Pelodiscus sinensis: one gene and its partner. The protein of the gene in region 1 interacts with the protein of each later gene in a biochemical or structural test. Links are inferred from orthologs where the notes say so. Each region holds a gene or a part of one and is shown on either strand. Other genes may lie near its edges. The genes, in order: RBSN and RAB5C.

Evidence for each region.
Region 2: the proteins of RBSN (region 1) and RAB5C form a complex in vitro, tested with the Homo sapiens proteins (2 studies listed by BioGRID and IntAct, with this or other methods). The link is inferred for Pelodiscus sinensis from reciprocal best matches to the Homo sapiens genes RBSN and RAB5C.

The regions. Positions count from the first base shown.
Region 1 is NC_134721.1:20,569,531-20,581,873, forward strand, and holds the start of RBSN (rabenosyn-5), read left to right. Parts: upstream 1-6,678; 5' UTR 6,679-6,839; intron 6,840-7,593; exon of another isoform or gene 7,594-7,804; intron 7,805-9,570; 5' UTR 9,571-9,714; coding exon 9,715-9,877; intron 9,878-12,343. UniProt on the Homo sapiens protein: Rab4/Rab5 effector protein acting in early endocytic membrane fusion and membrane trafficking of recycling endosomes. Required for endosome fusion either homotypically or with clathrin coated vesicles.
Region 2 is NC_134739.1:9,303,679-9,315,045, forward strand, and holds the start of RAB5C (ras-related protein Rab-5C), read left to right. Parts: upstream 1-5,803; 5' UTR 5,804-5,961; intron 5,962-9,254; exon of another isoform or gene 9,255-9,321; intron 9,322-11,367. UniProt on the Homo sapiens protein: The small GTPases Rab are key regulators of intracellular membrane trafficking, from the formation of transport vesicles to their fusion with membranes.

The DNA of each region.
Region 1 (12,343 bases):
ATCTCAATATATCCTCAGAAGACATAAGCCATTAAGGATTTTTCTTCAAACACCATGAAAAAATAAAACAGCCCCACAGATTCCCAGCAAGTGTAAATCCCAGCCCACAGTAGATCTATGCTGATTTATGGCAATTGAGAATCTGGCCTATGATCTCCAGCTATTTAGTGCTCTGTAAGTAATATTCCCCCATGAAAGGCTGTCAGATAAGTACAAGATTACAGGCAATTTTGAAGCCATTGTGAGCAGCACTATCTAGTGCTGGCACAATAGCCTGTTGGCATTTGTATTAAGGATATCCCTGCCCACAAAGATCTTGACAGGGGCATATTCAGTCTGAGTATCCAGTTATGAGAACCAATGTGCCACATCCAAACCTGGATACAAATTCTTGCAACTTGAGTCCATCTCTTGTTCATGTATTTGTTAGTGTATTGTGGTAAATTTAATGAGAGTTACGCTAACTTAAGTGAGGTCCATGCCCTGCAGCCATTACTGTGGGAACAAACAATTTATGTTGTAACAATGGGGGAAAAAAGACTGCATTTACACAGATTGTCATTTTCTTCATTCAGTGATTCATGCTGTCTGCACAAACGCCTTGTGCTGCCTAGTGCAAATTTAGATATCAAGATCTCTCCTCTGGGAATGTGATAATCAAATCTACTTTCTCTACTTAACTGGTATATTTAGCATGTGGTTAGGAAGTCATGACTTACCTGACTGAGATGCCACTTGTGGAATCCAATTTTCTCTGGCACAAGGAGGCACACCACCATTGGCTTATTCCAGCATGGCACTTATCTGTGGGAAAGCCTCTTCTTGTACTTTCTGTTATTACTTGAGTGCCCCAAAATGCATTAAGTGCCTGTCATAGGGTATTCGCTCATCACCAGTAGCACCTCTTCCTGGCTGTTCTGGGAATTAGCTCTCTTTCAGGTCCAGTGCCTCCACTTGCAGTCTCTTCCCTGCTGTCTTTTCGCAAGCTGAAATCCCTCTCTCACTCCAGGAGCTGCAACCAGGACACTATGTGGCTTCCCCTTCTGGAGTAGAATCTCACTGTATCTGCTGCCCAGACAGTTACTCTCCATTAGTGGCTAGTAGGATAACCCAGGCCCACCCATCACTCCAGATTCTAGTCCAGGGAGCCTAGCACACTGTCAAGCTCTGCTCAGTCCCTAGTCCTGCTGCTTCCTGTTTACCTCTGATAAGCTTTCTTCTCCACCTTTCTCTTTGGGTATGCCCTTCCCCCAGAGCCAGGTCCCCAGCCTCTAACTCTTTCCCTGGATTTCCTCTAATGCACAAAAGATGGCTACAGACTTTCTTGATAGCAAGTTAGAAAAATGGTCAGAGGTAAACAGGATGAAGTTTAATAAAGAGAAATGCAAAGTGCTCCACATAGGAAGGAACAATCAGTTCCATACATACAAGATGGGAAGCGACTGTCTAGGAAGGAGCATGGCGGAAAAGGATCTAGGGGTCATAGTGGACCACAAGTTGAATATGAGTCAACAGTGTGATGCTGCTGCAAAAAAAGCAAATATGATTCTAGGTTGTATCAACAGGTGTGTTGTAAGCAAAACTCATGAAGTCATTCTGCCTCTCTACTCTGCACTAGTTAGGCCTCAGCTGGAGTACTGGGTCCAGTTCTGGGTGCCACATTTCAGGAAAGATGTGGAGAAATTGGAAAGGGTACAGAGAAGAGCGACAAGAATGATTAAAGGTCTAGAGAACATGACCTATGAAGCCAGGCTTCATGAACTGGGCTTGTTTAGTTTGGAAAAAAGAAGATTAAGGGGGGACATGATAGCGGTTTTCAAGTATCTAAAAGGGTGTCACAAGGAGGAAGGAGAAAATTTGTTCCTCTTGGTTTCTGAGGACAGGACAAGGAGTAATGGGCTTAAAGTGCAGCAGGGGAGGTTTAGATTGGACATTAGGAAAAAATTCCTAACTGTCAGGGTGGTCAAATATTGGAATAAATTGCCAAGGGAGGTGGTGGAATCTCCCTCTCTGGAGATATTTAAGAACAGGTTAGATAGACATCTGTCAGGGATGGTGTAGACGGAGCTTGGTCCTGCCTTGAGGGCGGGGGGCTGGACTCGATGACCTCTTGAGGTCCCTTCCAGTCCTATGATTCTATGATTCTATTATTGATGCAATCCCCTTTCTGCTGTAAACTTACTACTTTCATACCAGTCCCAGGTGTTACTCCCCAGCTGGGCTCCATCTCCAATCAGTCCTCCAGTTGCTGGCTCTTTCCCAGGGACAGCCCATCACAGTGTCTTGCCAACTCAAGGAAATGCATGGTCCCTGCCCCAGAGAGGTTACAATCTAATGTCCACACACTGTAAATTGATCAGTATAGGCCAGTGGTCTCCAACCTTTTTAAGCACAAGATCACTTTTTGAATTTAAGTCAGTCCAGGATCTACCTCAAACCCAAATACCCCTGCTCCACCCCTTTGCTGAGGACCTGCGCTCCTCACTCTATGAATATGGGGTACAGGGGAGGGGGACAGAGTGACATCAATGCCCCCTGCCTCTCTTGCCCCCACCCTGCATAACAAGCAGGAAGCTCCCGGGGCAACTCTGAGGCTCTGGGCAGTAGCAGCTGGGCAGTGGTAGGAGGGACAGCTGAAGTGCCAGCGCTTGATAGTCTCCCAGCCAAACCAGTCAGGATCACCTGTCAGAGGCTCTAAGATCTACTGGTAGATCCCGATCTACTGGTTGGTGACCACTGGTATAGGCTGACCCCTGCCAGGCAGAACAAGTCACAGGACTAAGGCCTTAGAGCTCAACTCTGCAAATACTTAGGCTGATGACTAATGTGCCTCCTTGGCAGAGAAAGATGCTAACTAGAGATGTGAGACAAGTGAGGTCAGTAGACAAATGTCATGGAAAGGGGAGGTGGGAAAGAGGTTACAGTAATAAAATCAGATGTTTACTCATCTAGGCTGCTCCTAAAACTGGATCTGCAAAAGCAAAATCCCATTGACTTCAATGAGATACACATAGATGCAGGGGTCCACCAGCATAAAAGCTATTGGGGATGTAAGGGATGCACACATCTTGATGTCTCTATCAAATTCGTAATTAAAATATGTAAATTGTATTTATTTGCCACAAGACTGAAAGATGCTAGAGAGTATTTCGTATAATATAATAGTGGTACAACAAGTAAGCTAGTTAAAGAGTTCTCCAGATTGATCCAATTTTCATCTCTTACTTTCTTTTCTCTTACATATGCTCCCTAGACACCTAGGTGGAGTGCCTTAAAAGTGCCTAGATAAATAGAAAAGCCACAACATAGGATCAAAACAGATACGCAGTGAAGTTGGATATCATCTAAATTTAGAAAAAAACAACAAATGGTCCGGTAGCATTTTATAGACTAACGAAACATGTAGACGGTATCATGAGCTTTCGTGGGCACAGCCCACTTCATCAGATGACCGGAGTTATACTTAGTCAACTGTCATGTCTTGCTTTATTAGCTTGCTTTATTAGTGCAGCAATTTACTGTACAGTTTCATTCTTTTCCAGTCCATGTGAACAGAGTTCTGTATTAAAATACTTAGCAAGGACTCTATTTGTAAAAAAAAAACCCACATTTTTTAAATTCTTTTAAAAGAACTGTTCAGGTTCTTAAGAATTTTTGGATCAATATGCCCTCTTAGCTGATTTTTAAACGGGTATTTGATTTTTTAAGGTAACAGTTTATTATATACAATAAAATTTGTTAATAACATGGGGGAGCAGTCTCTGACTGGGGCAATTTTTTTAACAGCACCATAAAAATCTCTCCTCTGCTTTTCAGAGCAAATGGGTTTTGAGCCTGCACTTTCCATGCTAAGCAGGAAAGTGATCATAACTGGGATTTGCATTCATTTTCACAGCTGTTTGATTTTCTTTACATAATTGAACCAAGAGTATATTGTTTTGAAAAGTGGGGAGTAATGGATACAAATAAGAAAATGGGTGTTTAAAATTAAATGAGTTTGTTTATTTATAACACTATTATTCCTGTGACTAAATCAGATCAGTTCTGAGCCTTTTAATTTCCCTTCAGGTTTTTGTAAAATTATAGTTGTCCAACAGCAGAATGGGGTAAACTCAATAATATGAAAGATGCTCCTCTGCCATTTGTACTGATTTTGGGGCCCTATGTGGGCAACAATTTGAAAACACACTCCACACACCTTTCCTTCCCAGCTTCCTTTGAAACATTCATTGGAAAGGGGGAAGGAGACAGTCAGAATGAGATGGTATCTGCCACAAGGGCAAAATATTCAGCCCCTAAACCTGCAGATGGTTTGAGATCTGAGTGTCCCAGAGTAACTGTCATTACCACATGTATCTCACTGTCTGGTCAATTCCCATGGTCACAAACATACATCAGATTATTCTTTCACCAAAGTGCATATTTAGGCTTTTCTTATAATTTCTTGTTGTAATGCAGTCACCCATTACCAAGATAGTTCCCCAATTATCACCTCTAATACCATTAACTCACAAACATCCCACTCTCCCTACCTCTAATATCATCAATTCACAGACACTTACCTTCCTTCCTCCCCCCCCCACCCCGCATCCCCCTCCTGTTCTGCAATGTGATTTGTCCTTTTCATATTTGTTCATTTTTTTTAATTGTATCCTTTGGTATATATGGTTGTGACTACTTTCTTCCACTATTTGATCTGAGGAAGTGGGTCTGGCCCACGAAAGCTCATCATCTAATAAACCATCTTGTTAGTCTTTAAAGTGCTACATTGTCCTGCATTTTGCTTCAGTAAATAAGCACTTCTCTTTTACCTCCAAAACATCCCCTTGCTGCCTGTTTCTATTTATATCTTCCCAACTACCTCATTAGCCTCCCTGCCCAGCGTTTTTTGCTCTATATGCCTGGTTGGGCACCTATCATGGACCTGCCTCTCCTGGTACCACATCTTTGCAAGGTAACACATGGGGAAAGGGTGGGTTATGTAGGTTTACCCCCCATCCCACCTCAGTTTTCTGACAGGGTTCACATCAGAACATGACCCGCAGCATCCTTTTGGCACTATGCAGGAAAGGAAGGGATGGAAGCTGCTTTCAGCTACAGGGGAGGAGGAGGTGGGGAAGGGATGACCTGGCTCATGTCTTTACAGCACTCATCTCTTACTCCTCCAGCCAAGACCACCTCCCAAAAACCTCCTGTGGCTGAAAGCAGCTCCCCTCTCTTCCTGATGATACAGTGTGAAAAGGCAGCTAACCCCTCCAGCATGGATGGTGGATGAACTCCTGGCTTGGGGAGACAGCCCTCAGCTCCACCTCTTCCACCCAAAGCCCTGCCCCTTCCATACCCAATGGCCCCAACCCCTCCTCCCATTGTGGCTGCTGGCCTTGGAGCCCAGGGTTGCCAGGCAGCACAGCCCCAGACCCCCAGCTCCAGAGTGCTGGAGAGCCAGGTGAGCAGCACAACCTCAGACTCCCTGGGCTGCAATGCAGTGCCTGGTTGCTCCCCCTGCCCATGAAGTCCCTCCCCACCCAAGCCGTCAGCCCCAGCACTGCGCAGGCAGTGGACCCAAGGGCACATGCACCACAGTCCCAATCTGCCTGCCCTCACCTCAGGGAACAGGCAGGAGAGCCTAAAGGTAGAGCATGACCTGATGATGCCACAGACAACCCAGTCACCTCTTGTTCCCTGGCTACAGTGAGGGCAAGAAGGAGTTAAGCCTGAAGGCTCTATTGTCTACTTCAGGGATCAGGGAACTGGATTGCAGGGGCTTCAGCGTACCCAAGTGACTCGGAAAGGGGGAGCTAGTGGACAGAGCACCCCGGGCTCCCTTGGGACAGGATGGAATGTGGGGGGAGAGGGGCAGGTGAAAGGAGGGTGCTAAGCACCTGCCTGAGGGGCTGCTGTGGAGCCTGCCTATTTGAGGAGCAAGCAGGATGGAAATCGCTTTCCCACTACGACTCTAGAGCTTAGCTGAGAGGTGGACAGGATCCTCCAGATCCTCCATGTCAGGGCTGTGTGTGGATTTGGCACATGTAGGGCTTGACTTCTCCTGCCCAGTGCCCAGGGGGGAGGGTTCTGGGCTTTTGGGGGGCACCGGCTCCCAGCCAGAGGCAGTGAGAGGGAGGAAGAAGCCTCCAGCCAGGCTCTTGGTGAGCTGAGCCCTCTGACCAAGGGCTGGTTCTGTGCACAGTGGGAGCGGGACGTGCCCTGCCAGGGGAGATACAGACGAGTAGTGGGATGGGAGAGACAGGTGAAGGGGCAAAGCAGTGAGACTACAGCAATGTTCCCGACTTGCTGCCTACACCGTTCTGCTTACAGCCCCAGCACCGTGTGTGATTCCAGGAGAATCTCCGCTTTCATTTAAATGGTTGCAGAGAAAAGCGGAGCCCGTAACTGGAGCGTACCCCGCTAGCAGGGAAACCCGAAAGCAACGGCGCCTGCCCCACGCCAGACCCCCATGATTGCTGGGGCTGGCAACCCTGGAGATAGGGCCTGACAATGCAGCTTCCATAGAGCTCACAGCCCCCACTCCCTAGCCTGCCCCTGCTCAGAGCCCACGAGCCGCCCTGGCCTCTCCTTGTCCTTGGCCCCTCCCCTTTCCCAGCCTTTGCCCCGGCGATCTTCTAAACCCTCCCTTTCCCAGCAGCCACTGCTCCTCGATCCGTGGACTCGACGCTCGGCAGTGGCGCCTCGGTCAAGCCCCGCCCCTCCCTGCTGTCCCGGATGAGCCTGCCCATCTCCTCCCATCGCTAGCTCGGCGCTCGGCCTGGGCTCTAGCCCTTAGCGCAGCTGGGCCGGGCCCGCGGCCCGGAGCCGCCGCCTCGCCTCGCCTGGGAGCCGAGGTGAGACCCGCCCCGGGGTGGGCTCGGAATCCGGCCCGCGGGCCTGCGCTCCGCTCCTCGGTTGGGGCGCGCCCCTGGGTCCGCAGGGCGGGGGGATTCCTCTCCTCTCGCGCGGGACAGGGCGGGGCCCTTGTGGGGAGTAAAGGCGGCCCGGCCCTGGAGCGCGGGACCCTCCCCCTTCTGGCAGGGGCAGCCCCCCCCCGTCGCAGTGGGGTCGGGGGCGCCGCGGTCCTGATGTTGTTGCCAGAGCTCGGCGGGGCGGGGCGGGGCCGAGCCCGCTCCCCGGGGCGGGGCGGGGCTCGCAGGCGGCCACACGTTGCTGGCAGAGCTCCCCGGGCGCGTTTCGTAACGGTCGGGGTGTCCCGTGGGCACTTGGACCCTCCCCCATCCAGTTGGGCGTGGCTGGACTGCAGCGCGTCCCCCTCGGTGCTCCCGCCACAGCGCCCCTCTCAGAGCGTCACCTCCGTGGGGCGGGTGGAGGCACCTGTCGCAGGATTTCCATGCTGAATAGTCTCCCAAGTGCTTCCTAGGAAGCCACTTCGGTGGGTGAAACGTCCCGAACACCTCTTGCAAGTTCCCACGCTCCCCCGAGGTTGACATTAGTCTCTAGGACAGTGTTTCTCAACTCTTTTGCTTTTTATGAAGTGCCCCCTTTAAAAAAAAATTATAAGTACCCCCAGTACCTACCGTTTCAGAGGCAACATTTTTTTCTACCCTTGCAATACATTTGTTTCAACAACTTAAATGTAGCCGGGCAGGCGATGAAATTTTTGGGTGTAAGAAGTACACAAATAATAAAGTGGTGTAAAATTTAAAACAAAATTCAGTTTTCTCCAAATTTCAGTTGTGTTGCCGTACCCTGCAGACTTCTCAGACTTCTCTCGAGTACCCCTAAGGCAGGCATGTCCAAAGTCCGGCCCGCGGGCCAATTGCGGCCCGTGTTCCGGTTTAATACGGCCCCACAGGTAATTTGGCAATATCTATCTTTTAAGGCCCCCAACGAATCCATATGTATTGAGATGAATACATTGTAAAATCTCAGTTAATGTCAGTTGGTCTAAATCAGTTATAAATATATTTGGACACAACATGTATACTTGGTGTTATGTTCCTGTTCATATTTTTTGAACTTAAAAGTTGACAGACAACCTTTATTACCAATAATATGTAATGTACTTTACAATGTTCCTGACATATATTTCAGCTTCCTGGATTTTTTTTTCATTTGGACTTCAGATATGAAAGGCAGAGTGATTTAACACCTGTTTAGATTTGTGATCCATGTGATGAAATGAAAAGTATGCCGTTTGCAATAAACTTTGCATAAAATAGTTAATTTGCATTTAATTTTAATGGTTCAAAGAATGTCAGGCAAAATGGTCGGCCCTCACGCATGTTCACTTCATGAAATCTGGCCCTCTTTGAAAAAAGTTTGGACTCCCCTGCCCTAAGGGAACTCATACCAGTGGTTCAGAAACACTGCTATAAAAAATGAACATACAATCCTACAGTAACGCACCCAATAGTTGTATTTTTAGTACAGTGGAGCCCAAAGATCAGTATGGTTTAACTTCATTCATGAAGGTTTATCCTGGACATTCGAGGAAATTGCCCTCTAAAGTATTTACCTGGAATGACCCAAGTATTTTGAGTCAGACTGACCATTTTTATTTACATTTTATTTTCTTTAGCTTTCTTTGTCATTTGTCATATAAGTTTTCTTCCCTAGCAAAGGATCTTATGAGAAACTTGTGTTTTACACCCTCTAAGAGAAGTTAAGGGGCTGGGGTATAAAAGGAAGGGTCCACTGAATACTTGAGGGTCTCATGCAATATGTGATATGAGGTGAAGTATGATTTAGTCTAGAGGTCCCAGACTAAATCATGAGTATGTATGTGTACCTCTGCGGGTATACGGAAGTCTTCTAGGCTAGGGCATACATCAACTCATTTAGATATTTACATAGTTTAACAAGGTACATAAAAAACATTAGCAAAGTCTGTACAAACTAAAATTTTATACAGTGACTTGTTTACATGGTTCTATAAGCTATATGCCAAAATGTAAGTACAATATTTATAGTTCAGTTGATTTATTTTATAATTATATGGTAAAAATGAGAAAGTAAGCAATTTTTCAGTAATACAGGTTGAACTGCTCTAGTCCGGCTCATTCTGGTCCAGCAACATCCATGGTCCAGCAAGATTTTATTTAGCCAGATGTCCATTTACTATGGGTGTGGCCAAGTTTCCTGCAGTCCCATGAAGTGTGTTAAAGCCCTCATTCTTGGCTCTAGTGTTCTGTGCTGTTGTTTAATTTATCCCTGAATGTCTTCCAAGAGCCCAGTAAACAGTGGAAGTATTGGTAATACTGTTAGACAGTATTGACCTCCTGTGGTTCAGAAAAACCTCTGGTTTGGCACTGGTCAGATCCCCAGGGTACCAGACTAGAGAGGTTCAACCTGTAGTGTGTTGTGGCACTTTTGTATTTTTGTGTCTGGTTTTGTGTCTGGTTTTGTAAGTCCAGAGATTTTAAGTGAGGTGAAACTTGGGGGTAAGGTTCAGAGTCTTGAATGGGTTATAGTAGTCTGAAAAGGTGAGAGCCACTGCTTTAGTTTCTTCAGTTGTCTGTGGAGCAGTGTTCTAGGAAGTAACTGGATCATTAAAAGATCAGATAGCTACTGAGTTAAACTGTTCATCCTGTTTAAAACTGCACTGTGCATCTTTTTCAGATTGCTGTTTTGCACAAGCTGCAAGGAAGAATGCCACTTGCTCTTTGTTAATTCATCAGACATAATGCTACAGAACAGCATATTGCTGTTCCACTGCTGCTAAGTTTTGGAGGACAACAGTATACCACAAGTGCACAAAGCATCATGGCATCAGGCTACCCTCCTCCATTTGATGACTCTGTGGAAGTGAGAGAGGGTTTTCTCTGTCCCCTGTGCCTGAAGGATCTGCAGTCTTTCTATCAGCTTCAGTCTCATTATGAAGAAGAACACTCAAGTGAGGACAGAGATGTCAAAGGACAGCTCAGAAGTAAGAATCATGACAACAGTTTTAACTTCTGCTGTGTAAAATTATGTACAGTGAAATACAGCCGCTCTCTGAGTTACGAACCAACACTTGGTCCGTAACTTGAACTGTTCGTAACTCAGATCCCATAGAGTTACATGGTGACCATGCTGTTTGTAAGCGCAGATCGCCGTTCGTAACTCGGATCAGCATTTATAACCGCTTTGGTCGTAAGTGCGGATGGTCATAAGTGGAGGTGGCCGTAAGTCGGGGAGCGGCTGTATGTTTGTTGCACTACAGATTCCTAAGAGCATCTCAGCTATAAGTCTCACTTCACTAAAATATTGATTAAAATGAGTTAGAAGTGGGGTTGGTTAATGTGTAAATGGATTTAGGCCAAAGAATTTTTGTACAGTTTCCAACAGAAAGTTTCAATAATGTTTTCTAACTTGGTTTCCTAATTTTAGGCAACTAAATAAGCGGCTTGATTTTCAGATACCTACTTTTAAGCGCCCAAGTTAGAAAATGCAGGTGCTTCACTTTTGTGAGAGTTCTCAGTACATGAAGGATTTATATTATTAGAATTAATAACAGTTATGCTTGCAGTTTCCGTGGACACGATCTCAAAAAATAAATTATGGATTTGTCATTGGAATTGAAGGTGGATAACTTGCACATAATTAAAAGTGGGGTGTGAAATTGACAAGAGCCTTGGCTATATTTATAGTGGATTTAATAATGCTGTTTAGGTAATCTATTTTTGTGATAATAAAAGATTCTTCTTAGCTTTTTGTTCATATACACTTCAGTTGTATGTGTTGAGTAAAATGTTCAGAAACAGTCTTGAGTGTTTTCCTGGACAGTTGCTTGTTTTTCCTTAATCTTGAATTTTTATAATTTTTAACTGTAATTGACAGTGCCCCTTAAAAGGATACTTTGTTTGAATATATGGCTTTTAATCTCAATATTTTTATTTAAAACATTGCTTGTGTTACTCTTAGACCATGTTAGATTATTAAATTAGATTTATCAGACTGAATTTTACTTTTCACCACTTTAGCTGCTCATTTGCTTTTAGCCATTCACTCACTTTTGACAATGAAAGTAGACTTGTGTTCTGCTATCTCAGTAGTGTCCCTTCAATTTAAAATATCTCTGACATTTTCAAATTTTTCTTTAATTTGTATTTTTAAGGATGTTATTTTTATCTGTCTGCTTTGTCATAGTCAATGCTGCCACTTTAAAACATTGCATGGAGCCTGAGATCAGTTCCCAGTTGATCCTGGGTTCCATGCGGTGCTGCTGCTTTGAAATGCTGTGTGCAGCTTGATTCTGGGCTCCCCGGAGCATTTCAAAGTGGCAGCGCCACTTGGAGCCTGGGGTCTGGCTCCAGGTTCCAAGTGACACTGCCGCTTTGTTGAAGTACCCCCTACTATTCTTCCTCCTTGCTGCCTCTTTCTGACAGAGGCAGCAACAGGGGGATGTGACTAGTCAACTAGCCTGTCGATCATCTGATAAGCATTTACTTATCAGATAGTCAACTAGTCGGCTAGTCCTTCACATCTCTACTGATAACAATGAGGAAAATTACAGCAGGTCTCCAATTTGATGTGTATAAATGTGTCATGGGATACGTGTTAAACTTTATATGACAAATGATAGAAAAATTATGTGATTGCATACAACTATCTTTAGTAGATATTGAAGTGTGTTATAATATCACTATTGATTTTTCATGTGTTGCATATTATCTGTGTGACAGAGTTATGTCCTGTAATAATTTTTAGAAACTGCAGAAATTAGCTTGATAGGAAATAAATATTTTAAAATGTTGAATTTACTGGAATTTCACAATACAAGAGACTGGGAAGTCTTTAATAAAGATAGTCTATTTATGTAATGTGGTATAAATCAAGGCTGATTTTGTAGAATTATGTAAATAAATTTATGCTTCTGGTGAAGCTACCAAATCCATGACCTGAACCAAATCTGGCCAAAGAGAAGCCTAGTTTCCCTCCCATCAGAGGCAAATAAATAAATAGTGGCCAATAGCCATTGAGTTGAGGCGCCTGCCTGTGGTGGTAAATCAGGCCCCTATGCACAATCATACTGAAACTGTTGAATATACCTGTGAGCAAAACATTCAAGAAGCAACACTGTTGAATTATACTCTAATTGTTTGACTCCGCTTCCTCGAATAAAATAATCTCCACCGATTTTCCTTTCCACTGTTTCCGTGTGCAGATTTGGATTGTGTGTCTATGGCCAGGTCTGTGCTAGGAGACAGTCAAACAAAGATGTGCTATTATAGCTATGTGAATATCGTAGCTGGAGTAGATGTACTTTTTCCAATTTCAGTGGCATAGAATCATAGAGCTGGAAGAGACCTTAGAAGGCCATCAAGTCCAGCCGCCTGCCCAAGGCAGGACCAATCCCAATTAAATCAACCCAGCCAGAGCTTTGTCAAGCCGAGACTTAAACACCTCTAGG
Region 2 (11,367 bases), on another chromosome or scaffold:
CCCCCAGCCCAGCCCCACTGGCGCCCCACAGGCCTGGAGCGCCCCCCCCCCCCCCAGCGAGGTACCTCTCTGCTCCCCTGGTGGGAGCTGTCTCCCCAGTCTTCTGCTCCTATCTCCAGTACGAATTGGCACGAATTCAACACGGGGCGGGCGGTGGGGCTGGAGCTGGGGGCCGAGCGGGTCGGGCTGGAAGGGCTCTGGTGTAATTGATGGGAGGAAAAGCTGCATGAAACGCACAATGCTGGAAACCAGCTGGGCTGATCCTAGGGCCACTTGGAAACCGGGGCCGGTAGGGCCGTCCAGCTTCTCGCCGATCCGCCCCGGACTCCAGGGAAGCCTCAGGGGCAGTGGTGGACTGGGCTGGACTCGGTAGCGCCTGGTGCCCGGCCGGGAATCCCCACCCCCAGGCTGTCGGCCGCTTTGTTCCCGGCGCCGTAGGGCTCAGTTTCGAGGCGCTGCAAGTCGGGGGGTCCAGACTGTGCTGTGCCAAGGCTACGTGTCCCAATATGCAAGTGTAACCCCCTGCGCGGGGGGGCCAGGTGCCCCTGCCCTCCCCGGAGGGGGGTGATTGCTGCAACTCCAGGGACGGAGCCCAAGCTCCAGGGCCCTGGTTCAGTCCTGGGGGTGGCCGGCCAGACCCTCTGGCTGGAGGGGAGCTGGAGCAGTGCATTCTGGGAGCTGTGCAGCTCCAGGAGCACCCCCTTTGTGTGTGAATGACCCAGCTCAGCCTAGCTCCCCACCTGTCCAGCTCACGCAGCCGCCCCCAGCGCTGGGCCTGTGTCACCCTACGTCTTTTCCGGCACAGCCCTGCCTGGCCGCCTCGGCGACTGGGAATTCTCCGCCCTGGCCGCCTCTGGGCTGTTCCCAACAAGTGCCTGTGTGGCACATCCCAGCCTGCCTCCTCCCCACGAGACCTTGGCTGTGCTCGCCACAACCGGCAGTCTCTTCTGACCTCAGTGCGAGGGAGGGGGCTGGGTGGGTGGGGAAGCCCCTTTGTGCTCAGGATTAGGATGCAGGGGAAGCCCTATAAGGGTTGGTCGCTGTCCAGGGACCCTGTGCTGAGCTCTAGCAGCTGGTCCGAGAGAGAGCCGTGCCAGCCTGCCTCTTCGGGCTGGGCCTGCAGGGGCTGGGCTGGGCCACAAGGTGGTGAGCCTGGACCCAGCCACGGCGGGCAGAGTTAAGGGGACCACGGCCAAGCAGACACCTCCTTGGGACCACACACACACAGAGAGACAGACAGACAGACAGAGCTGGGCTGCTACCAGCCACTGTTCTCCCTGAGCCCAGAGGCACCCGGACTCCAGCAGTCGCCCGTCACTGCCCTCCCCGTCTGCTGCGGCGCCTGGCTCTGGGGCTCTGCTCCCTGCTGGGAACTTCAGTGATTCTCCGGCGTTTTGCTCCGTTTTATATTTGGTCCCTTCCACAGATGAATCCTCCCCGCATCTGCCACCAGCATGTGCCACCGCTGCCCAGCCCCTCCCCGGCCACCCCCTCCATGGTGCTGCAGAGACACAACATGAAATAAAAGCTCTATTTTTACAGCCACTGCCTCCTGCTGCTTTTGGGGAGGGGCAATGTTGTGCCCCTGCTGCTTGGTACGTGGTACGGTCAATGGCTGGCATAGGAGGGGTTGGAGAGACGGGGGGGGGACAACTCAGTCTGATTCCCAAAATACCTGGCACCCCAAAGCACCTTGCTGAAAGGCCCCCCCCTACCTGGGGCTCCATCTGCTCAGATCCCTTTGCTGCTGCTTTCTGGGATCCTGGGGACCAGTTCAGGCCTTGCCCCTTCCCCCACCCACTTGCCATCACAGCCACTTGCTGTAAGACACTGTAAGATTGTCAGTGTTCGTGCGGAAATACTACGCTGCTCCCGTTCGGGCAAAAGCCCTCGTGTGTAAATGCTTTTGCGCAAGAGGGCCAGTGTAGACAACGCGGTATTGTTGTGCGGATAAAAGCCCCGATGGCGAAAATGGCGATCGGGGCTTTCTTGCACAAAACTGCGTCTAAAGTGCTTTTGCGCAAAAGCACCCGTGCCAATCTAGATGCTCTTTTCCGCAAATGCTTTTAACGGAAAAACTTTTCCGCTAAAAGCATTTGCGGAAAATCATGCCAGTCTAGACGTAGCCGTGTTGTCAGAGGTGCTGTGCCAGCCAGCTACCCTCCCTGGAACAGGGCAATTAACTGGTGGCGCCTTTTCCTGGCAAGCCAGCCTGACTCACGGGCACCAGTCCCCACCTGTCCTAGGCTGCTGGGGCTCAGCCATGGATAGATTGGCCAACCCAGTTTTCTGGCCTAGAGGGGAGTGTGCGTTTCCCCTGCCCCACTGGCTCAGTGGCCCAGCCTGCTCTCCAGCCCGGCATGGGGGGCAGTGGGGTTTATGCTGACAGGCAGCGCCTCCTGTGGCCTTGTCCGCCCTGTGCTCTGCAGCTCTCTACATGCTCCTGGGGGCTTACCCAGCCCGGCTCACTGACTGCGCCCCTTGACTCTGGCAGCTTGGACCCTGTGAGGGGGGGAGGTTTCTCTCCCTGCTCTGCCCCAGCCACACAGGCTAGCCCGTGAAAAATCTCCCTTGGGCCAGAGCTCCCAGGTCTCTGCGAGCAACAAACATCGCTGCTGGCAACACAGGGCGGCCTCTCGGCTCCCTCCCCTAACGAGCCCTCGGGGTGGGTTGCATCACCTGCTCTCCTAAGCTGGGGCTGCCGTGTGACTGCAGGCTGCTGGGCCACACCAAGGGCAGGTCGCTGATCCCATCCTCCGACCCAGCCCACAGTCCCCATTGCTCCATGTGCTTTCCAAGCTGCAGCAGGGCCGGCATTGGGCTGAGTCACAGCAGCTCCCGATGTAACAGACTAGGACCCAGCCTGAACACCCGTAAAGATCCTACAGCCAAGTAGGGCGGAGCCAGCCCATAGCTCTGCCTGCCAAATTTCCTCTTACCAGGCCCCTGTCCTGGCAACCTGCCAGGCCCTGGGTAGCTACAGCTGCCACTTCTGCCCTTTGAACCCCAGAGCCCTCGTCTCCAGGGCATGGCACAGGACTACGCTCTGCTCTCCCGCCCATCAGGCACTGCTGCAGAAACGCCAGGGGCTGCTGTCCGTGAGGACACCCCTACTCGGGGGAATTCCCCTCCACTGCACCACGGTGATGTTCACGTCTTCAGCCCCTTTCTTTCCAATGCTCATTGGCTGCTCTGCACACCCGCCGCTGAAATGCAGCCAGCTCTGGGTGGTTGCGTATGTGTCAGAGGCAGGCCTGAACCCAGGATCTTCTGCTGCCCAGCACAGCCCTCTCCTGCTAGTGCCAGCCTCTGGGAGCTACAGCCCCGCTGGGATGTTGGAGGCAGAACCCTCTCCTAAGCCCTGAGCCACGGCCTGGGTTTGTGGAGGGGCCCTGTCAGCGCGCCGAGGCTGAATTGTGTAGCTGGCATGGGTCAGGTCTACGGTTGTCAGATGGTTGAAACAAAAATACAGAACAAGCCGCCCCCTGCCAAAAAAAAAAAAAACACTGAGAAAAAATTCTGTTGAAGGAAAAAAAAAGGGGGGGGGGAGCCAAAGAGGTTGAGAAAAAAAAAAAAGACTCCAAGGCCATTTTGTGCCAGCAGCCTTGCAGAACCTGGGGCTGGGGTCAGGGAGCTGGGGTGTTGGGAGCCAGGGGGGGCTTGAGGAGGGAGGCAAGTTGCTTCTCAGTTTAAATCTCTGTGGTGATCACAGGGATGGGGCACTGCTAGGGGTTACCAGGTAGTCATTAACAAAAAAACTGGACACGCTTCATAGGAGGAGGGGAGGGAGAAGGACTGGCCAGGCGGGGAGCGGTACTGACTGGGAAGGGTGGGGGGGCCTGGAAACAGCTAACGGGGGGGGGGCAACGGGGCTGGCTGGGGAAAGATGGGGGGGCCAACGGGAAGCAGGGCTGGTCGTGGGGGGGGAGGTTGGGCGGTACGGAGCTGGCCGCGGAATATCAGGGGAGGGGAACTGACCGGGAGGAAGGGGGGGGCGGGAGCTGCGAGGCTGGCCGGGAGGAAGGGGGGGCAGGAGGAAGGGAGGTGGGAAGCACAGCTGGGGAGGGGTCGGGAGCCGTGGGGCTGGCTGGGAGGGAAGCAGAGTTGGCGGGGGCGGGGGTGCAGCGGCGCAGGAAGAAGAACAGGCCAGTGGGAAGCAGAGCTGGGGGGCGGTGCAGGGGGGCTGGCCGGGGAAGATCAGGAGGGGAAGTGGGGGAGGACCGGCCGGCCGGGTAGGGGAGGGGTGAGCAAATCGGCCGGCGGGAGCGGGACTGACCCGGGCACTTGCAGATCCTGGGGCGCTGCCTGTCCCGCGCAGGCTCCCGGCAACGCACGAGCAAGGAGGAGGCTTCCCCCACTCAACCAACGGAGGGCTCTCGGCGGCAATGGTGGCCCCGCTTCCCAACTAGGACGCCCAGCCGCTCCCCCCGCCCTTGCCAGGCTTCTGTCTGGTGCGCAGCCGGAAAAATCAGACAATACCGGACATTGCACGTGTCCAGTATTGTCTGATTTGTTTTACCGGACAGAGCGAGCAAATACCGGACTGTCCGGTACAATACCGGACACCTGGCAACACTAGTCATGTTGGTGGCTGGACTTGGGCAGTTTGCAGCCTCCTGGGTAAGAGGGGATGGGGGCAGCAGAACAGCCTAAAACCACTATACCAGTCCAGCTGTCCTCAGGGCCAGCTCCAGCCGTGGGCACGGGACTGACCGTGTGCAGCAGGGCAGGCTGCGTCCCAAAGCAGACCCGTGGGCCAATGCCTCCACCTCTGTCTCCTCCAGGCCAAGCGCCCCCCCCTCCCCCCCCAGCAGGCTTGGGTGGCCCAGCACCCCTCCCTATCACACCCAGCTCTGGGGTGGCACAGATGATCCCAGCTATCCCAGGGAGCTCCCTGCTGCCACCAGGGGGAAGTCCTGCTGGCCCCCCACCCAGGCAACAGAGTCTTCCTCCTGCTCTCCCTCCCCCCACCTCGCCCCAGGCTCCTCCCTCTGCCCCAGGCTCCACCCCCTCCGTTCTCATCCCCCCCCTCGCTCCCCCCCCGCTACAGGCTCCTCCCTCTGTCCCTGGCTCCTCCTCCCTCCCCCCACCTCGCCCCAGGCTCCTCCCTCTGCCCCAGGCTCCACCCCCTCCGTTCTCATCCCCCCCTCGCCCCCCCCCCCCCGCTACAGGCTCCTCCCTCTGTCCCTGGCTCCTCCTCCCTCCCCCCACCTCGCCCCAGGCTCCTCCCTCTGCCCCAGGCTCAACCCCACCCGCAGGCTCCACCCCCTCCATTCTCATTCCCCCCCCCCCAGGCTCCTCCCTCTGCCCCAGGCTCCACCCCCTCCGTTCTCATTCCCCCGCCCCAGGCTCCTCCCTCTGCCCCAGGCTCCACCCCCTCCGTTCTCATCCCCCCTCGCCCCCCCCACTACAGGCTCCTCCCTCTGTCCCTGGCTCCTCCTCCAGGGAGCACCGAGCCCCCGCCCCAGGCTCCACCCACGCCCCCAGGCTCCTCCCCCTGCCCATCCCCGTTCCAGGCTCCTCCCTCTGCCCCAGGCTCCTCCCCCTCCCCTTACCACCGCCCAGGCTTCTCCCTCCGCTTCCCCCACCCACTTCAAGCTCCGCCCCCTTCCAGGCTCCTCCCCCTGTTTCTTCCCTGCGCACCAAGCTGCGCCCACCGCCCCAGGCGGCACCCTCCCACCTCGAGGCCTACAACTCCCATCGGCCCCCGCGAGTGCGTCACGTGGACCGCCCCGCCGCGCTACGCCCCACTTCCGGCAGCGCGGAGAAGGGCCGGGCTGGGAGGGGCGGGGAGGGAGGAGTGGGCAGGGCTTCGGTGATTGGCGGACGCCGCTGCCTCTGACCCCGCCCGACCGGAGCGGAAGGGGTGGGCGGACCCGGAAACGGAGCAGCTGAAAGGCGGAAGTGGAGGCCGCAGCCTGAGAGCCAGCTGGGGCGGGGGAGAGAGGCGACCCCGGCGCGGTGAGTGGGGCCGGTTCGGAGCGGGGCGTCCTGGGGCGGGGGCTCGGTGCTGCGTGTCCTGCTCCCTGGAGCCGGGGCGGGGGCGCAGTCGGGCGGGGAGGGGCCGCTCAGGGGGGTGTCCTGCCCCTTGGAGCCGGGGGGCAGAGAGGCCCTGTGGGTGGGGGGCGCCCTGAGGTGGGTGCCTTGTGGGTGGGGGGGGCCCTGAGGTGGGGGGGCCCTGTGGTGGGTGCCTTGTGGGTGGGGGGGGCCCTGAGGTGGGGGGGCCCTGTGGTGGGTGCCTTGTGGGTGGGGGGGGCCCTGAGGTGGGGGGTGCCTTGCTTCCTGGGACCAGGGGGTGATCTGGCAAGGAGGCACTGGGCTGGGGGGACTCTGTCCTTGTCTCACATGCTCCCCCTCTTTATTCTTTGCTCTATACGTAAGGTTGTGTTCGGGGGGGGGGGGGGTCTTTTTAAGGGAGCTTTGCCCAGCCACTCTTCAGGGGTCAGCAGAGATCAGCCCTGGCCACACAGTACTGGGCAGTGTTGCCTGTATGCTGGGCACTTGCGTAGCTGCTCAGAGTCAAGTGCTGGCCAGCCAGCTGACTAGCAGAGCTACTGCAGCTAGTATTTTTGTCTGTGTTCTATTGGTAGTGCACCTTTGCACATATCTCAGTGTGCGCAAAACTTATTCTGTATGTGGTTGGGGAAAAAATCTACACCTGGATGGACTGGATTAGAGGGAATGTTGGTATGGAGTAGTTATTCCCTTGGTAACTTGGCTGGGTTCCTTGTTACTTGGCATGTGTGTGTAAATGGGCCTGGAAGCAGCTGAGATCCTGGGCTGTTTACAGGGGTAACCTTCCCTGTTTCCCTGAACACCTGAGACCAGTTTAGGTGGCTGGTGAGAAGTGGGATTAATCTATTGTCCTGTCTTGGATGAGACTCTGTAATCTTGCCCACATTTCCCCCCCCCCCCATGCGTGCACATAAAGCATACCAAGAATGGCATTTGCTGGTAACTCACTTATTACATGAGTAGAAAAGAGAAGCAAACTCATCTTTCCCCCCCCCCCCCCCCCCCCTGCCCCTGGTCATTAATTCTATTGCTTCCCTGGTTATGAACAGTCAATTTCCTAGTAACTTCCCCTTCCCCTGGCTTGTATTGTCACTTGGTAAATGTATGACAATTCATGATTCACTTTGACCCAGCAAACAGACCTCTCTCTCTTGCCCACAATTAGGATCTGGATAACTGGATTGGTTGACTGGGTAATGGTGGCTTTTGTTGCCATAATCACCCTAGCTTTCTGGGCACTGGACAGGTCTAATGGCTGTGGCATAGTGTTTCCAAGGGTTAGGCTTTCTGTTGTCAAATGTAGGTGTACAAGTTGACCATAATATTATGGCTTTATGGTAGTTAGTGTTATTGAGCAGAAAGTTTAAGGCAGAGAATTGTCAAAACTAGGTCTTTGAGAAGTCACCTAGTCTGGACTGAGCTGAGCACTGGTGTGTGAGGTGGGGAGACTTCAACTTCCAATCCCAACTTGGACATAAGCTTGTAATGTGAGCCTTGGAGGAGGGTGTCTTATCTTCTGACATGGGCATGGTATTTGGCTCCAAAGACTGGGGGCTTGTTGCCTAATGTGAAACAATGGAAGTGCAAGGAATAAAGGGTTTAACTGAAGAAAAGATGGTGTCTTAAAATAGATTCCTCTGGTTAGACTCTTGAATAAAAGTGCAAATTTCCCATACAGAGATTTCACTTAGGTCATATGCATGCTTCTATAAAACTAACCTTCTCACTCGCTTCTTGATAGGGCCTGTATGGTAGTGCACTTACTGTGGAAGTGTACAAGATTTTTCAGAGGCACAGAATGCAGGTGCTATCCAACCAAAATGTATGATCCTTATGGACATCAGAGCAATAATATTTACTACTTATTATAATTAGTTTACTTCCTGATTTTAAAAGCAGCATACTTAGAAGCTGCTCACTTAATTTCCCAGTTGGAGTACGGGGATATGGCTCTTCAGGTTTGACTCATAAGGGCTGCCTGAGTTACTAGTTAATAGTTTCTTTATATGTAGGGGAATACCATGCTGTGTCAGGCTTTCTGAATGACTGCCACAATAGCCAGCTGTAACTGTTCTGGTTATTTAAGTGCCATTGTACTGTTTTGTATAGACAAAGTAATTGATTTCTCCTAACTTCTATGACTTGTAGCAAAGGTTAGAGCACTTCTGCTTTTTTTTTTAAGAGCTTGGATTTCTTAGAAAATATCTTGTGGAAATAAACTGCCCAGGGATTTAGGAAACAGGAGCCCAAAGTTAGTTGCCAAAGGGATCCAATATTTGTGTCTATTTTAAGAGTTTCAAGTATCTAGCTTCTAGTGGACTTAAGACCCCAACTTCAGTCTCTCATTTCAGAAAGGGGGGGGGAATGGTCAGAGCTGGTGTTTACAAATTGAATATGTATCAAGTTGAAGGTGGACTTAACACATTTAGAGGTAATACTGCAGTTAAATTGCATGACAGTGGGATCAAATGTAGACCTCATAAATATGCTAAACTGTAACAAATTCAAAGCTGAATGGAGTAGGGATGTAATAGCATAGTTGATTAACCTGTAAGCTTTTGCTTATTGGCTAATGCTGTCCACTACATGCATTTCCCTGCCTGTCAGTAAGTGTTTGCTTTTAAAAAAAAAAAAAAAAAAGACTGGCCAGCAGCCTGTCTCTGTCCTGGTTTGTGATGGGTCCAGGACCTACCCCTGCCATGGTTCTACATCTAAAGTGTATTAGGAGCTGGGTGGGCAGGCAGCCATCTCTGTTTTGGCTCGCACCAGCTCAGAATGCCTAGAATGGAGTACAATTAGGTTTTACTTGCACTTAAAAGGTAACTTTTACTTAAGGGTAAAGGAGCAGTGGTCCTGACAGGTCATTAGTGATATTGCCTCACTAAGGAAACTGGACACTGAAGGTGTGTCTTGGTATGAGAAACAGCAACTAAGTTTTCCAGCCTTTTTATAACTTCTCAATGAAATCAGCGGTGTTAAAGTCAACACTGTCTGGTTTGGGATCTTACTGGCAGCATTGATATTATGTTGGCTCACCTCTAACATCTTGTGCTTTTGTAAATGGCAATTTGAGACAAATCAAGGTTGAAGTTAAAATGTATAAAGGAAAGAAGAGAGATTACGCTGGGACATCATGTTTTAAGGCTGTTCCGTGTGAAACATGCTGCTTGTATATTCTTGGCTTTCTGTTGACACAGTTCAAAATAATTGAATGCCCTGCTTGTACTAGATCAAATTGGCAGAAGAGACAATGTATCAGAACCTTGGTGCCAAGCTGAGACAACTCCTGACCTCTTCCTGTTTGAGGTAATTGAACTCCAAACTCTTAATCTCCAAGGCCAAGAGCTGAGGGGCCTGTTAGTCTTCATGGACTAACAGGGACTGCTTCCGTTCCTGTGCCCTTGTCCTCCACTCTAGCTCATATCTTTGAAACTTCCTGTTCATAGGCCCATTAACTCCTTGGCTGCTTCTCTTAACCACACTCTGGGTTGCTCTTATACTTGGAGCTTGTAACTGGTGCTCTGGGTGGCCAGAAGTAGAAGCAGCCATGATGAATGTGGAATTCTGAGAACAATGCATGTAGTCTGCAGCTCTGAACCAGGGATCGGCTACACACCGTGACTGAGTGACCCAGAACGGCAGTGTTGAGAAATAACTTGACATTTATGGGTCGCTGAGTAGCTTGCTTCATTCCGAATGGTTGAAGTAATCCTGTTTGGAATCTTGCCCTACATCTTCAACTAATGTGATCTTCCTGAATCATACGTCTAAAGGATCTAGATGTTCATGGTACAGGCAGTCCCTGGGTTACATACAAGATAGGGACTGTAGGCTTGTTCTTAAGTTGAATTTGTATGTAAGTCGGAACTGGTACATATTGTAGGGGAAACTCTAGCCAAACATTTCTCCAGAGCTCAGTTTTATTCTCCCACACCTCACTTCCCTCAGTCCTTTATTCTCAAGCTAAGGTGTCTGCTGAGAAGCTGCTCTGTGTCTCCCTGGTCTGCTGGGTGGGGGTAGGGGGGGGGGCGCTAGCTTCACGTCTCCCTGGTCTGCTGGGGGGAAGCAGCTAGTGCAGGGTTGCCTCACCCTGTTTGTAAGTGGGATCCGATGTAAGTCGGATCCATGTAACCCGGGGACTGCCTGTATGCCCCCATATCTTGAATGCTGCAGACAGATATGGATGTCTCATTTAAAGATGTATTTGCATTTTGAAAGTCTAGAAAAGGGCAGAAAATGGTTAGGGGTTTGGAGGGGCTGCTGTATAAGGAAAGATTAATAAGACGAGGACTTCTCATCTTGGAAAAGAGGTGACTAAGGAGGATATGATAGAAGTCTATAAAATCATGACTGGGGTGGAGAAAGTGAATAAGTTCCATAACACAAGAACTAGGGGTCACCAAATTAGATTTAATAGGTAGGAGGTTTAAAACCAACAAACAAGTATTTCTTCATGCAGTGCAGTCAACCTGTGGAACTCCCTGCCAGAGGATATTGTGAAGACCAGGACTTGAACAGGGTTCAAAAAAGAAATTCAGAGATTAGGTCCATCAGTTGCTATTATCTAGGATGAGCAAGAATAGTGTCCCTAGCCTCTGTTTGTCAGGGGCTGGGAATGGGTGGCAGGGGAGGGATCACTTGATTCCCTGTTCTGTTCACTCTCTAGGACACGTGGCATTGACCACTGTTGGAAGACAGGAGGCTGGTCCTTTGTTTAACACCATTATCCTTCCAGAGAATGAGTGAATAGCTTATACATTTTTATAGGGTGCTCCAAGTTGTTGTCTGTGTTTCAGAAATGGAGCCAGATGAATGTGTTCCCTCATACAACCCTATCAGTTTCTCTAGGCATTCTTAATGGCCTTCAGGCAAGGGGAAACTTAAGTGATTTCAAATGACACACGAGGAGGACTTGGAAATTTGAGAGTAATACAGGCCCACAGTAAGTTGGCTGTCCCTTGTAACTTTTGTGGCAGGGTGGGGGTGGGGAGAGCAACTTCCTAATTTTCCCTGTACTGATGTGACCCCAACAGTATACAGTTAAGTTAATAACTGGGGGGGAAGGAGGGGAGGGCAGGGGAAGCAAAGCTGTCTGGAAGTGAAAGTGAAATTCACAGTAACTCAGAGGAGTAAACCTGTTCTATTACTACAGCTGAAGCAGTCCTTAGATCTTTTCCCTCTTTAGCTACTATCTTCAGTCAGTATGTCCTTGTTCCAACTTTACTTCTAGTTAGAGTTGAAATGGCCTTCAGGTTCTGGGCCTGTCCCTGAGATCATCTTTGTCTTACAGCCTCTTACCTGTTTCTCTGCTGCTGTGCAAAAGGCCCCAGGCAGGTAAAAATAGTGACCTAA